4 linked regions of the Sus scrofa genome follow. The protein of the gene in region 1 purifies or fractionates together with the protein of each later gene. This does not show direct contact. Links are inferred from orthologs where the notes say so. Each region holds a gene or a part of one and is shown in the gene's direction. Other genes may lie near its edges.

The links.
Region 2: the proteins of PFDN5 (region 1) and PFDN1 purify together in Homo sapiens (affinity purification with mass spectrometry; 7 studies listed by BioGRID and IntAct, with this or other methods). This does not show direct contact. The link is inferred for Sus scrofa from reciprocal best matches to the Homo sapiens genes PFDN5 and PFDN1.
Region 3: the proteins of PFDN5 (region 1) and PFDN6 purify together in Homo sapiens (affinity purification with mass spectrometry; 5 studies listed by BioGRID and IntAct, with this or other methods). This does not show direct contact. The link is inferred for Sus scrofa from reciprocal best matches to the Homo sapiens genes PFDN5 and PFDN6.
Region 4: the proteins of PFDN5 (region 1) and VBP1 purify together in Homo sapiens (affinity purification with mass spectrometry; 7 studies listed by BioGRID and IntAct, counting the BioPlex papers as one, with this or other methods). This does not show direct contact. The link is inferred for Sus scrofa from reciprocal best matches to the Homo sapiens genes PFDN5 and VBP1.

Annotation. Positions count from the first base shown.
Region 1 is NC_010447.5:18,511,384-18,515,440, forward strand, and holds the start of PFDN5 (prefoldin subunit 5), read left to right. Parts: upstream 1-1,253; 5' UTR 1,254-1,335; coding exon 1,336-1,407; intron 1,408-1,613; coding exon 1,614-1,716; intron 1,717-2,021; coding exon 2,022-2,053; intron 2,054-3,555; coding exon 3,556-3,630; intron 3,631-3,746; coding exon 3,747-3,852; intron 3,853-4,057. UniProt on the Homo sapiens protein: Binds specifically to cytosolic chaperonin (c-CPN) and transfers target proteins to it. Binds to nascent polypeptide chain and promotes folding in an environment in which there are many competing pathways for nonnative proteins.
Region 2 is NC_010444.4:142,075,172-142,079,417, reverse strand, and holds the start of PFDN1 (prefoldin subunit 1), read left to right. Parts: upstream 1-1,417; 5' UTR 1,418-1,533; coding exon 1,534-1,566; intron 1,567-4,246. UniProt on the Homo sapiens protein: Binds specifically to cytosolic chaperonin (c-CPN) and transfers target proteins to it. Binds to nascent polypeptide chain and promotes folding in an environment in which there are many competing pathways for nonnative proteins.
Region 3 is NC_010449.5:29,652,156-29,655,453, forward strand, and holds PFDN6 (prefoldin subunit 6), read left to right. Parts: upstream 1-1,536; intron 1,537-1,543; exon of another isoform or gene 1,544-1,686; coding exon of another isoform or gene 1,687-1,768; coding exon 1,769-1,832; intron 1,833-2,028; coding exon 2,029-2,099; intron 2,100-2,181; coding exon 2,182-2,306; intron 2,307-2,559; coding exon 2,560-2,689; 3' UTR 2,690-2,790; downstream 2,791-3,298. Other genes in the region: WDR46 (WD repeat-containing protein 46), read right to left, coding at 70-157, 281-393, 524-604, 714-929, 1,025-1,225. UniProt on the Homo sapiens protein: Binds specifically to cytosolic chaperonin (c-CPN) and transfers target proteins to it. Binds to nascent polypeptide chain and promotes folding in an environment in which there are many competing pathways for nonnative proteins.
Region 4 is NC_010461.5:125,502,305-125,504,827, forward strand, and holds part of VBP1 (prefoldin subunit 3), read left to right. Parts: intron 1-1,037; coding exon 1,038-1,176; intron 1,177-2,523. UniProt on the Homo sapiens protein: Binds specifically to cytosolic chaperonin (c-CPN) and transfers target proteins to it. Binds to nascent polypeptide chain and promotes folding in an environment in which there are many competing pathways for nonnative proteins.

The DNA of each region.
Region 1 (4,057 bases):
ACTGTTAAAGCTGTCAGTGCTATACACTTTAGCAGTATTCCTCACTTCTAGCACATGGTAACACTATTGAGTAACAAACCTGTTGCTGTGTTTGTTGGTTGATGAGGTACCTCCTTTGTGTTCTCTCCACCCACTCATCTCCACTCCATCTCTAGTCCCGCTTCATCTGCCCAAAGCCTCCTTTTACGACCAGAGAACTTAACAAGCTTCTTCCTTCCTTGCCAGTTGTCACTAGGGTTTATATCACCCACATGGTTTACTTTTTTTTTTTTTTGGTCTTTTTGGGGGCGCACCCGCAGCATTTGGAGGTTCCCAGGCTAAGGGTCAAATTGGAGCTGTAGCTGCGGACCACAGCCACAGTAACGTGGGATCCCAGCCGCGTCTGAGACCTACACCACAGCTCACAGGCAATGCTGGATCTTTAACCCGCTGAGCGAGACCAGGGAGCGAACCAGCGTCCTCATAGATGCTAGCCAGACTCGTTTCTGCTGAGCCACGACGGGAACTCTTTTTAAGATTCTTAAATTCAGGAGTTCCCGTCGTGGCGCAGTGGTTAACGAATCCGACTAGGAACCGTGAGGTTGCGGGTTCGGTCCCTGCCCTTGCTCAGTGGGTTAACGATCCGGCGTTGCCGTGAGCTGTGGTGTAGGTTGCAGACGCGGCTCGGATCCCGCGTTGCTGTGGCTCTGGCGTAGGCCGGTGGCTACAGCTCCGATTCAACCCCTAGCCTGGGAACCTCCATGTGCCGCGGGGAGCGGCCCAAGAAATAGCAACAACAACAACAATAACAACAACAACAACAACAAAAAGACAAAAAAAAAAAAGATTCTTAAATTCACAGGAATCCTGTTTGCTGCAACTTGTCGACGCTAGGCTTGGGATGTTTTGTGTAATGAAAGCGCTCCTGGGAGTTCCTATCGTGGCTCAGCGATAAGGAACCGGACTAGTATCCATGAGGTTGCGGGCTCGATCCCAGTCCTTATTTAAGTGGGTTAAGAATCGGCCGTTGCAGTGAGCTGTGGTGTAGGTCGCAGACACAGCTCGGATCCCGCGCTGCTGTGGCTTAAGCCGGTAGCTGCAGTTCCAGTTCGACCCCCAGCTTACGAACCTCCATATGCCTCCAGTTCGGTCTTTAAAAAAGAAAGCGCCGCTGTCTCTTCCACTCCAACGCAAGTAAATCACAGAGAAGACCCAGCTCTTCCTCCGCTCCCGGACGGAAGACCATAGAGATGTCGGGGGCAGCGAGGCCTCCCGGCGTAGCCATCGAGAGGCGCAGAGGACGGCTAGAGCGTTGCTCACCCGGCGGCTTCCGCTTCGTTAGTCCTCCTTCCCAACATGGCGCAGTCGGTTAACATTACCGAGCTGAATCTGCCGCAGCTGGAAATGCTCAAGAACCAGCTGGACCAGGTGGGAATAGGCCCCCAAAGACACCCCTTTCCACCTCACTTCCTTCCCGCCACGCGTACTCCCTCGCTCCCCATTCTTCCCCAGCCGAGGGAGGAGGTTTCCCTTCCCAGGCAAAACCCCGACTCGGTCCCAGCACCCGCCCCTTCCCGGCGGTGCCCTCCTCTCCCACCAGCCCCCGTACTAACCCTCATTCCTCTTCTCTCTAGGAAGTGGAGTTCTTGTCCACGTCCATTGCCCAGCTCAAGGTGGTACAGACCAAGTATGTGGAAGCCAAGGACTGTCTGAACGTGCTGAACAAGAGCAACGAGGGTATGCGGTAGGCGCGTGAAGGCAAGCTGGGGGTTGGGGCGAGCCGGCTTTTCCTCTCTCTTCCTTATCCAGTTGTCCTTATCTGAGACGAGAGAACGGTCCTTTACGTATTGCATACTGCTGCAGGAGCCCTTTGCATGTTGCCTTGGTAGACTTGAAATGTACAGGACATTCTTCTCCTGTTGCCCCTATTTCCATACTTATCGCACAGTCTCTGGGCGCTGTGCGGTGCTGAAACTCCCTTGAACGTGTAAAGGCTGGAGAAGTCCACCTTCCCTACATGTCTGTCTTAATTGCTTTCACAGGGAAAGAATTACTCGTCCCACTGACGAGTTCTGTATCCTTTCTGCAGGAACTGTTTCCCCGCCCACTCCTTTTCTCCTTCACCCCCTACCCTGCAAAAAAGGGCAGAGGTTCTAATTGCTCCAGAGATTCTGAGAATACTCAGTACACACTTCGTAGCTCTGCTATCTCATTGGAGCCAACATCCAGCTAATGTTTGGTGAGCACCAAGGTGTATGTAGAATTGAGGTGTGATTTTTTTCCTTCGCTGTTTGAGGATATAATCTAATAGGGAGATAAAACTGGTGGTTTACACTTTTGACTTGTTTTTTGGGTTCTTTTGCCTCACCCGCAGCATGTGGAAGTTCCGGGGCCAGGGATTGAATCTGAGCCACCTCAGAGACAACACTGGGTCTTTAACCTGCTGCACCGCAGCAGGAGCTCCCTACCCTTTTTACTAATAACTTAGAAAACAGAAGCAGTGGAAGAAGAGAGGATATAGAGACAAGGGGGTTGGCTCTGTTTATTAATCTTCAATTTTAGTTTAATTGTGGATCTTATTTCTAATCCGTTGTTACTGAGAAGCCTGGATTGTGTCTATCTGTTGAGTGTTTTACTTGAATGAGCCAATTGTGTTAACAGGGCACCTATAAACTGCACCTGAGAATTGATAGGCTGAAAAAGAAACACAGGAATAGCCGCATAGTAGGGACTGCTTAGATAAGGAACATTAAATCTATTGGGAATGACCTACTTCATGGTTGGGAGTGTTAAAGGAGAAATGAGGCTGGCTTTTCACTTTTACTATTTAACAGCATCAGGAAAAATCATTCCAGGAGTTCCCATTGTGGCGCAGCAGAAACAATCCACTACTAACCCTGGCCTCCCTCGCTGGGTTGGGGATCTGGTGTTGCCGTGAGCTGTGGTGTAGGCTGGCAGCTGCAGCTCCGAATCAACCCCTAGCCTAGGATCTTCCATATGCTGCAGGTGTGGCCCTAAAAAGAAAAAAGAAACACTGCATCTAGTCTTTATGGAGTTCCCATCATGACTCAGTGGTTGATGAATCCGACTAGGAACCATGAGGTTGCGGATTTGATCCCTGGCCTTGCTCAGTGGGTTAAGGATTCGGCGTGGCCGTGAGCTGTGGTGTAGGTTGCAGACCCGGCTCGGATCCCGCGTTGCTGTGGCTCTGGCATAGGCCGGTGGCTACAGCTCCGATTTGACCCCTAGCCTGGGAACCTCCATATGCCGCGGGTGCAGCCCTAAAAAAGACAATAAAAAAAGCCATCTAGTCTTTCTGGAAGGGCTAATGGGAAGAACTCTAAGAACTTCTTGGAGGGTGGCAGTGAGATCAGGGCAAGATCAGCATGTGTAATTTTCTCCATAAGGAACCAACTTCCCTGTGTCTCCCCTTTGGAGTGTGTAGGCCTCCAGATTATCTGATCCCGGTACCTTTTAAGTTTTTAGAAAAAGGGGTTCTTAGGAGGTCAAGCAGATGAGCCGACAGGAAATCAGGACTCATGCTGGGCTAGTTTTCCCTTAATCCTCGCTTCTCAGATGTACGTCCCTGGGAAGTTGCATGATGTGGAACATGTGCTCATCGATGTGGGAACTGGCTACTATGTAGAGAAGGTGAGTGGAAGGAAGCGTATGGATGCCCCGCTGAGGAGGCAGAGGGAGTTTAGGGAGAGATCCAGAGTGCACAAAGAGGTCTCCTCTTAGCCCCTCCTTCACCTCTGACCTTCCAGACAGCTGAAGATGCCAAGGACTTCTTCAAGAGGAAGATAGACTTCCTCACCAAGCAAATGGAGAAAATCCAGCCAGCTCTGCAGGAGAAGCATGCCATGAAACAGGGTAAGCTTGGCCTTGGGCACCTCTTCACCATTTCTACCTCCATAATAATCAAGAACATGAATTGCAGCGTGAACCATGGCGGGTGTCCCCTTTGTTGGATTAAAACCATGGTTTTCTCTTTGGTGTCTTGATGTATTATTCTTTAGATGCTGTGCATCACATATCCGCTATTTCTAGATTCCTGGGTTCAGTGCTTGAGAAATTT
Region 2 (4,246 bases), on another chromosome or scaffold:
CCCCTTGAACAAAGCCAGGGGTTGAGCCCTAATCCTCATGGATGTGAGTTGGGTACATTGGCACTGAATCATGATGGGAACTCAATAATATTGTTATTTCCATATTAAATAAGGAGACAAACTCTATTGCTACACAGTAAGTAGAACCAGACATATCTAGGCACAAGGTAGACCAAACCTTAGCTACCTTGGAATCTGTCTGGTTCTAAATTACCTGCCCTTTCCTCTCTCTTACAGGTTTTTAGACTAGGCAAAACATCCATTTCTTTCATTTCTAAAAGTCCAATTACCAGCCATCCCTCTGGTTCAAATGCCAGATATTTTACATAAGATTCTCAAAATGTGGTTTGCAGACCACTTGGGGCATTTGCAAAGGTGCAAATTTCTGGGCCCTGATCTCAAAGATTCTAAGTAATTAAGTTTGGGATAAGGACCAGAGAATCTCTGTGTGCGTGTTTAAAATATACATATTTTATTTTATTCATTAATTTTTTTGTCTTTTTGCCTTTTCTAGGGCTGCTCCCTTGGCATATGGAGGTTCCCAGGCTAGGGGTCTAATCGGAGCTGTAGCCACCGGCCTACGCCAGAGCCACAGCAACGCGGGATCCGAGCCACGTCTGCGACCTACATCACAGCTCACGGCAACGACGGATCCTTAACCCATTGAGCAAGGCCAGGGGTCGAACCCGCAACCTCATGGTTCCTAGTCGGATTCGTTTCTGCTGCGCCACGACGGGAACTCCAAAATATATATATTTGAAACAAACTAATTTGGTTTGTGAGAACCACTGTGTCAAGAAGGTCTTCCATGAGTGTTCAGTATAACTAAGTTCTTTGGAGGAACAGTTCGGCTAAGCCTTCCGGTTTTCTCTATATTGGCATGTATGAGGCGTGGGCTGAATTTTCGTTTTTTGTTTTTGTCTTTTTAGGGCCGCAACATATGGAGGTTCCCAGGCTAGGGGTTGAATCAGAGCTGTAGCTGTCGGCCTGCATCAGAGCCACAGCAGCCATCCCAGTCGTGTCTGTGATCTCCACCACAGCTCAGGCAACACCGGATCCTTAACCCTCTGAGCCAGGCCAGGGATCGAACCTGCAACCTCATAGTTCCTAGTCCGATTCGTTTCCTCTGCACCAGGATGCAAACTCCTGGGATTCTTTGTCCTCCCTGACAGCACAGGGACCCTGACTGAAGAGGTTTTGGCCTCATCTACATACATCTCAATTTAGCAGCACAAACTAAGGTATTTGTCAAAAATACTTAAAACCATGCACGAAATCTGCGCGTGGTGCGGTGTCTGGAAGGATGTGGAGAAACAGGCCAAGCCTATAGGTCACGAGAAACATGTGCTTTTAATCGGAATCTAGGGTTCTCTGGGTGGAGGGGGGATTCCTAGCGCTGGAGAGCGGAGGAAACCAAGCAGCTCGGCTCCTGCGCAGGCGTAGAAGGAAAGGGGACGATCCGCCAAGGCGCGCCCTTCCCCCACCCTTCTTTCCGGCCTTCTCCCAGCGCGCAGGCGCAGAGAGGGAATCAAGATGGCGGCTCCCGTGGATCTGGAGTTGAAGAAGGTAAAAGAGGGTTTTGAGCAGGCAGGCTTCTCTTTGGAAGCTAACGGGACCGTAGACAAGAATATCGAGTGAGACCCAAGTCCCGCGGAGGGAAGAAGGTCCCAGGGCATTGGGGAATGCTTTCCCAGAGTCCTTCAGGCGGGACTGGGTCGCCTTAGGCTGGAGTCGGGGCGAGCAGCTCTTTGCTGGAAGAGAGCTGGTAGGGCTGGGGCTGGTTAAGTCTGGCGGGCCGATAGCTGTTTTGAGTCCCTTGTTCCGGGCTCCAGAGCCCTTTCCTTGTTCTTGGAGCCTTCAGTCCTATTGTAAGGCCTGAAGTGAGCGTTTCAAGTTGGAGCCCCTTGAGACAGCTTGCCCGAGCTGAGGCATCCGTAATTCTGCATCCTAATTTGCTTTGACAAACTCCAGGTCCAACCTGTGTTTTTAGGCCACTTCTTCAATCCCGTACCTCTAAGGTCGCGACATACTCTTAAATCAGATATTCTCAGCACTGTTTGGCTCCCTCCCTAGCCCCTCCACCCCTCCCCTTTTAAAGGGTTTGTCAAAAAAGAAGCAAAGTCTAGTGAAAGTTTTCTAAATGGAATCGGTATCAGAAGGAATTGGGTTTCTCCCTTCCCATAGTTGCCTGTAAATGTGTTGTTACTCAGAGACGTTTTTGCCACTTAAAGAATTGTCAGGATTGTGACACCGCTACCAACTCAAAAGCATATCTTTTTTTTTTTTTTTTTTTGAGAGGGGGATGGGTTGGGGATTGGAAAGGATCTTAGACTTCATCTGCTCTAAACTTTTACTTTTCTAGAAATAAAAACAGTTACAGAAAAGACTCAGGCCATGGTTAGGATCAGAATCCAATATTTTCTGCCTTCCCGCCTTTTGGCCATTAGTTTAGGTACTTCAGAAGGGCATCTTGTACTAAAACCATTCCGGTCAACCTTTGTGTCAGACATAGGGCAGGTGAAATAGCTTTTGCACCCAATAAGCAAAGCTGTTTACTATTGCTCTGAGGATTTGTGTATGTCCTTTTTGCCATTTTTGTTTCGAAACTTGTATCTTTAGTCTTTACGTGGTCTCTAATGCTGTCCCATCTTAGCTTTAACAATATACTAGGTTCCTTAGCAAACTGTGTCGTAAAGCATCCTAAAAGCCCCCCTCCTTTTTTTTTTTTTCTGTTCAAATTAAGTCAGGGTTTAGTGAAAGAGCCAACAATAGAGTACAGCTGTGAATGGGTTTACCTCAGTATTATTTGAATTTGTTGCTAGGAAACCTGTGGGCAATGAATGCAAACTAAGAAAATGTTACGGACTTAAATTGATTGCAGACAAATTGATTACAGACTTAAACGATTATAGACTTAAATGAGTACAGACTTGAATTGGGTAGCTTTGACAACCAGTGAAATTAACTCAAAAAAACTTGTTTAAGGATATTCTAATGTCTTTATAATGTCTTTTTTTTTGGTCATTTTTGGCCACCCCACAGCATATGGAGCTCCTAGGCGAGGGATCAGATTGGAGTTACAGCTGCGACCTCAGCTGCAGCTGCAGCAATGCTGGATCCCTAATCCACTGTGCCGGTGGGGTTTGAACCCTCATCCCAGTGGCTCCCAAGACTCCACTGGTCCCGTTGCGCCACAGTGGGAGCTCGGGTCTTTTTTTTTTTTTTTGAGTGGAGACAAGTAGGACATTTTAGGCACCTCCTCTAACTCTAAACAAAATTTTGAAACCTTACTAGTAGGTGAGAACAAAGCCAGAGTAGAAGTTAAATAGCAGCTTTTGCCATGCATTGCAGCCACAAAAATTATTATTCAAGTATTAAGGCATAAATTTGACAGGATGTGAAAGTCATTCTAGGCTCTTCAACAAGAGTACCTAGGAGCTTTTTGAGTTAAGGGTACCCAAGGGTCAGATTTGGCTTGGTGTGTGCCTCTGTCATGATATAATTCTTCTTCCAGTGTTTCAAATATTTTCTTTTTTGTCCTTCTCTTAAAATATGCATTTTCTGAATATTACTATAGACAGCAGAACGGAAAGGTTTTTGAACTAGAAGTCAAGAAATGGACTTAAGAGCTCACTTTTAGACCTCTTAGTTGTTCAACCATGTGCAAGTCATTTATATCTCTTTCAAACATTTAGTTACTTAATTTATAAGCTGTGGTGATGAAACTGCTTGCCCTAACTCAGGATTGTTGAGAAGAGTAAATGAGGTATTTATTATTACATCTATTAGTGTTCTCATATTAATATTTACATATTAATAGTTCAAAAAATGTGGGAAAGTGCTTTGAAAACTAGTTGTAAAATATAAATGTAGTGAGTAGTTACATTTATGGTTCTTGTTTTGGATCTCTGGGTTTCATCCGCTGACTGTTGCATTTAGTGCCTATATTACTCCTTGGGTACCTGCTACTTGATATGTTTATTATTTACCATGTCTTTGTTCTGCTGCTTCAAATAGACAGCATCTTTTGAGGACTGGGTAAATTCAAAACAGTTGACCCTTGAACAACACAGGTTTAAACTGCGGGGATCCAATTGTACATAGATTTTTAAAGGTATTACTACAGTACCACACACTGTGTGATTGGTTGAAATCCAGATGTAGAACCAAGGATACAGAGGAACTGCTATATGGAGGGTCAGCTGTAAATTACACTGGGATTTTTTTTTTTTTTTGGCCATGCCTA
Region 3 (3,298 bases), on another chromosome or scaffold:
CTAGCCCCACTTCCATCCTGCTCTGCACCCCAGTCAGCCCGCTGGATCCTTTTACACCCTCAGGCTCACCTTGGCTGCACTTGCAATATCCACAGCCTCTGCGATGTCAGCCTGGCGTATCCTTGCTGTGTCCTCCCCATCCTCACCTTCCAGAAACCTGCCAGTGAATGTCAGGGTTGCATTCAGCTTTCCGATGTGAAGTCAGTGTATCAACATAAAAGTGAGAAATGAGAGCCTCATAAACCAGGAGCTGGGGAGGCCCACATTACGGTCCACTTACCCAGGTTCCTCAGCCAGCAGCAGCTCAGAACGAGCAGCTTTGACGCTTATTTCCTCTTCCTCAGCTTCAGCAGCATCAAGCCGGCTTTGGGCTTTGGACTTGGAACGGGGCAGCTACAATCATTGGTGGGAGAGGAATGGGCGAGTATGGGGGTTACAGGAGAGCCACCTGACCGCGCCTCCATCCAGCTCACCCAGACACTCCCTGCCTGCAACTCCTCCCCACTCTCCGACCGGTTCTCACCTTTTTGGATTTGTCGATGCGACGGAACTTTCGAACTACCTCCACAGGGACAGGGGCGGGGCCTGCAAACGGGTCCTGGGCCTGGGACAGGAATGGGGCAATTAGTAAACAGGCTCGGGTTGATCCCAACTCTCGTACCCTCAAAGCACGAGGAGACTTGCCTCGCCACCGTATAAGGTCCCAGGCTCACCCCAGACAAGCTCCGCTGAGGGCCTGGACTCCTCCATTCTTGGGATTTCTTTGGGACCTGGGGCTTCTTGGGGAACCGAGACTTCTTTTGGATGGGAGCGTTCTTTGGCTTCTGAGGGCGGGCCTCTCGATTCTTCTTCTGTTTACGAGGGGGACCCGGAGAGGCTCCGGCAGCTGTCGGAGCGGTCTCTTCCTCCCAGTATCGCCGAGGTTTCTGCTGGCAGATCAGGACCCCTGATATTCCGCTGCCTCCTCCCCGCCCCTCCAACCCCTCAGCCAAAAACTTTCCTTTCAACCCAAGGAGGTCTCTACCTTTCTCTTGGCCTGAAGTCTGTCCTTCTTGGGCGGGACATCACTGCCAGGCTTGGGGGCTGTCTCCATCAAGCCCACCCGAACCGCGACACACGTGCAAACTCCTCTCAGCTGTCCCACAGTCGGATTGAAAACTCCCGGAAGTCTTCCGGCCCTCATCCAATCAGCTCCGCCCCAGGTTCGAAGCCCTCGAGGCGCCATCTTGGGTGAGGGCGCTCTCTCCAGTGAGGTGGGGGGCAGACCTTGGCCCCGCCCCCGTGAGGCAGTTTATGCTTGAGTAATGAAAGAGAGGTGGTCCGGAGCCAGGACTCAAGTTGACTGTGCAGTTCCTTTTTCCAGCTTCGTTTCCGCATGTTGCCTAGAACGTTCCGAGTCCAGCCTTTTAGAAAAACGCCACTCGTCTAACAAGTGAGAACTACAGTTCCCGGCATGCGTCAGACGAGAGCTTCCGGCGCCGTCTCTTCCCAGCATTCTCTGTTTACTTCCGGGTTCACCAACACTGAAAGAAGAACGTGAGTAGATAGAGCAGGCGTTCGGTTGAGGGCTCTGGGGTCTCTTTTCCCCCGCTGCCGCCTAGAGCAGGGGTGGAGTCGATATCTCGGACGGGGGGAGACTGCGGTGCCCCGAGGGGCTGCTTCTCAAGAGGGCTGTCATTTCCGCAGGCCGGAAAGGGGAGCTCGGGTACCTTCCAGAGTGTGCAACCCAGCGCCCCTCTCCCTCTTCCCGCGGAGTTTCGTCCTCGCCATGGCTGAGCTGATCCAGAAGAAGCTACAGGGAGAAGTGGAGAAATATCAACAGCTACAGAAGGGTAGGGGAACGGGGTTGTCCCGGTTCTCTCACTACCCGAAGCCTTACAAGATGCGTCCTGCCCCTCTCCATCCCACCCGTGCCCCTTCCCCACCTCCATGGTGTTCCCGTCCTTGTCGCTCCATTTCTCACCAGGACGGTAGGGATTGGGTGGCATATCTGATGTCTTTAATCAAGTCTTCCCTCCCACCCGCCAGACTTGAGTAAGTCCATGTCAGGGAGGCAGAAACTAGAAGCACAACTAACAGAAAATAATATCGTGAAGGAGGTGAGAGCACAGGATTTGTGGGGCGAGGAGGGAACTTGTCCTGGCAATGTTTCTGATCACAGATGTCCTGCCCCTCCATCAGGAACTGGCCCTGCTGGATGGATCCAACGTGGTCTTTAAACTTCTGGGTCCCGTGCTGGTCAAACAGGAGCTGGGAGAGGCTCGAGCCACAGTGGGGAAAAGGCTGGACTACATCACAGCTGAAATGTGAGTCTTTGTTCCAGCACCTTCTGACAGACATGCCACGGTGGAAGACGTGTTGAGAAAGCCTTGTAGAGTAGCTTCCAGAGCTGTTCCCACCACCACCACCACCCAGTTCCTCCAGCCGCTTTCCTTTTAACCCCTCTTCTCCTCCCTCCCTTGGATCTCACGTTCCCCACCAATCTCCTTCCTGCCTTCAGCATCCTCAGCAGTAAGTCTCATTAAGACCTCACCGTTTTTGGTGTTCTGTCTTCCTCAGTAAGCGATACGAATCCCAACTCCGGGAACTGGAGCGCCAGTCAGAGCAACAGAGGGAGACCCTGGCTCAGCTGCAGCAGGAGTTCCAGCGGGCCCAGGCAGCCAAGGCAGGGGCTCCTGGGAAGGCCTGACCCTGTGGAGGGGGGAGGGAGGGGGTGGGAATGAGGCAGCTCAAGGGTCTCTACTGTAGTGAATAAAATGTGAAAACACCTGGCTGTTTTCTCACCAGCCACTTCTGTTGTAATCATCTCCACCTTTTCCCCTGGTCCCTTCTCCCCTTATATGTTTATCGCTTCTGTGACTCCCTCAGGTCCAGACTCTTGCAACTGGGCACTCTGAGGCCGAGTAAGCCTTCTTTATTGAGACTGAAATATGAAATATCTCAAATCTCATTTTTCCTGTATATGCAGCCCTTAGGTCTCCATTATCCTGGTTGGAAACATGAGAAGGGCATTTGCAATGCAGTGGTTTTGGGTAAAGTGAGTTTAATTGAACTCAGAATTTTCTAAGCTGTGACCCCAGAATGAAACATGGGGACCCTCCCTGCTGATTTCCCATCATCTTCAAAATAGCCCTGGCATCCCTCTAATTCGTTTTAGTCTTTTTTTCTTAGAATTTGCTTGAATGTAGCTTAAACTGATTTAAAATCTCAACACCTAACGCTCTGATATCATACGTCCTCCATGTTTATACGTTGTCCACAATGTTGTTCTTCCGTTTCTTTGTCCTCAAATTGTTTC
Region 4 (2,523 bases), on another chromosome or scaffold:
TTTTAATTCTTAAAATAATCCTTTGAGTAATTTTTAAATTCCATTTGTCAGATGGGGAGAGGGATTCAAGAAATACCCAGGAGGAAGTCAGATTAGAAGAGCTCAGACCTGGGAAAGGTGTGGTTCGCCCCCTTCAGTGTGCATGTGGTCACTCTGGATCCTCAGAATTCCAGACTTAGTCATCTTGCCTTCACCCCTAGTGGCTGGCGTGGGAGGTGGGGAGGGGGCGATAAAAGCTAGCTGTTTGTCTTAATGGATCAAATATAGATAATGGTCTACCTTTGAAAACTTTTAAATTATTGTATCTTCAGCTCAGAAATGACTATTTACATTGATTCAGATGTAATACTATAAATAGTGTCACGATGGACTTAGTAGATAAGATAGTATTTGGTAACTAAAGATAGTGATTCTTATCCTTATTCTTCTATTTATTTATTCCATAAGCAAAAGAATAAGTAACCTGATTTCCCAGAGCCTGTTTCCTTAGCTATGAAGAAGATAACTTGCCTCACTAGGGTTTATGAGAAGTAAATATATTCTCTAGCCCAGGGAGTCAATAAACTTTCTGTAAAAGGCCAGAGAGTAAATATTTTCGGTTTTTGCAGACCATGCAGTCTCTGTTACAACTTGTGTTTAGCTCTGCCACCATGGCATGAAAGTGTAAGTGAATAATGAACAGCTGGGTTTCAGGAGTTCTCACTGTGGCTCAGTGAGTTAAGAACCCGGCTAGTATCCATGAGGATGCGGATTTGATCCCTGCCCTTGCTCAAGTGGGTTAAGGATCTGGTGATGCTGCAAGGTGCCGCCATCTGCAGCGTAGGTTGCAGATGCAGCTTGGATCCTACATTGCTGTGAACTTCCATATTCTGCAGGTGTGGCCGTTAAAAAAAAAAAAGACTAGCCGGGTTTCAGTAAAACTTAGGACGAAGGGCCTCTGGCTGGATTTGACTCAAGGGCAGTAGTTTGCCAGCCCCTGCTTTAATGTATAAAGACCAGGTGAATGTTTATTAATTGTCATGATTTTCTTTCTTCAGGCTAATGTAATGCTTGAATATGATATCGATGAAGCTCAGGCATTGTTGGAAAAGAATTTGTCAACTGCCACAAAGAACCTTGATTCTCTTGAGGAAGACCTCGACTTTCTTCGAGATCAATTTACTACAACGGAAGTCAGTATCCTTTCTCAAAAAAAAAGAAAAAAAAAAAAGAAAAAAAAAGGGCAAAGGGAGGAAGGAAGAAAGATGTTTTTAACATTCTTACCTGCATTGCTTTAGTGAGAAGAATGTTCTTTTTTTTTTTGTCTTTTGTGTTTTTAGTGCCACATCCGTGGCATATGAAGGTTCCCAGGCTAGGGGCTGAGTCATAGCTGCAGCTGCCGGCCTACACCACAGCAGTGCACAGTCACAGCTGCTTCTGCAGCCCACACCACAGCTCACGTAACGACAGATCCTCAACCCACTGAGCAAGGCCAGGGATCGAACCCACGTCCTCATGGATGCTAGTCAGGTTCATTAACCATTGAGCCACAAGGGGAACTCCAATAATGTTCTTATTCTTAGACTACTGTTAAGTTGCAGATTTTATGAGAGTGGTAAATGACATATTTAGAACTAATAAATAAATTTACAGATAGACTGATCTGAATTTGAAGTGGGAAAATGTGAAAACAGCAAATTCAGTTTAGCAAAATGAGTATTTTTCTTTCAGATATTTTCTCAAGACATCTTCATAGCTAATGAAGTAGTGTAATTCCACAGTTGGTTATTAAGGGTCTCCTGCAACTGTGCTAAGTTGCATGGGGCAAAGTATTGCTCCGTAAAACAACTAAGTGATGATTTTATAGTAAAATATAAGTAAGTTCATTTCATATATTCAATACCAAGGCAATTCAAAGTTAGGGAAAGATAGATGTGAGCTAGAATTAGTTCAGAACGGGCTTTGAGAAGATAGAACTTAAGAGTGTTTTCGAAGGCAGTGTAGGATTTATATCGGCAGAGGAGGCCTTTTCTTTCTGACCTGTCTCTCCTCCTGGTTCCTGGCGCAGTCCTGGGCCTCACACAGTCGCCCAAGACAGAAACCTGGGAGTCGACCTTCATGCTTCTCTTTTTTATCAGCGGAAGCCAACCAGGCACCAGATTGTTGTCAACTTTCCCTTGTAAATCTCTCTGCCCATTGCTGTTACTCACATTTTGGCCTTCTAGAGTCTAGACTCAGTAGTTCTCTAGTCTTTTTCTCCCATCTGTCCTTTGCACTATCTCTACCATGAATTTACTGAGTCATGCTTCTTTCTTTTTATTCCTCTGGTTATAATACTTCAGGGGTATTTGCTATGTGGAAGGGCTGCACACGGGCTTTCTGTGAGCTGTGCCCAGCCAGTCCGAACTCCTGCTGCTGGCTTCCTTGCTCCCAGTGCACCCCTGGCCAGGTCTTCTCACCCGCTGTGTGTGCCATGCCTTTTGTACTTCCACAGTCAGTGCCTCCTGCCGGGACTGATTTCCTCTTGTTGACCTAGGTTGCTTC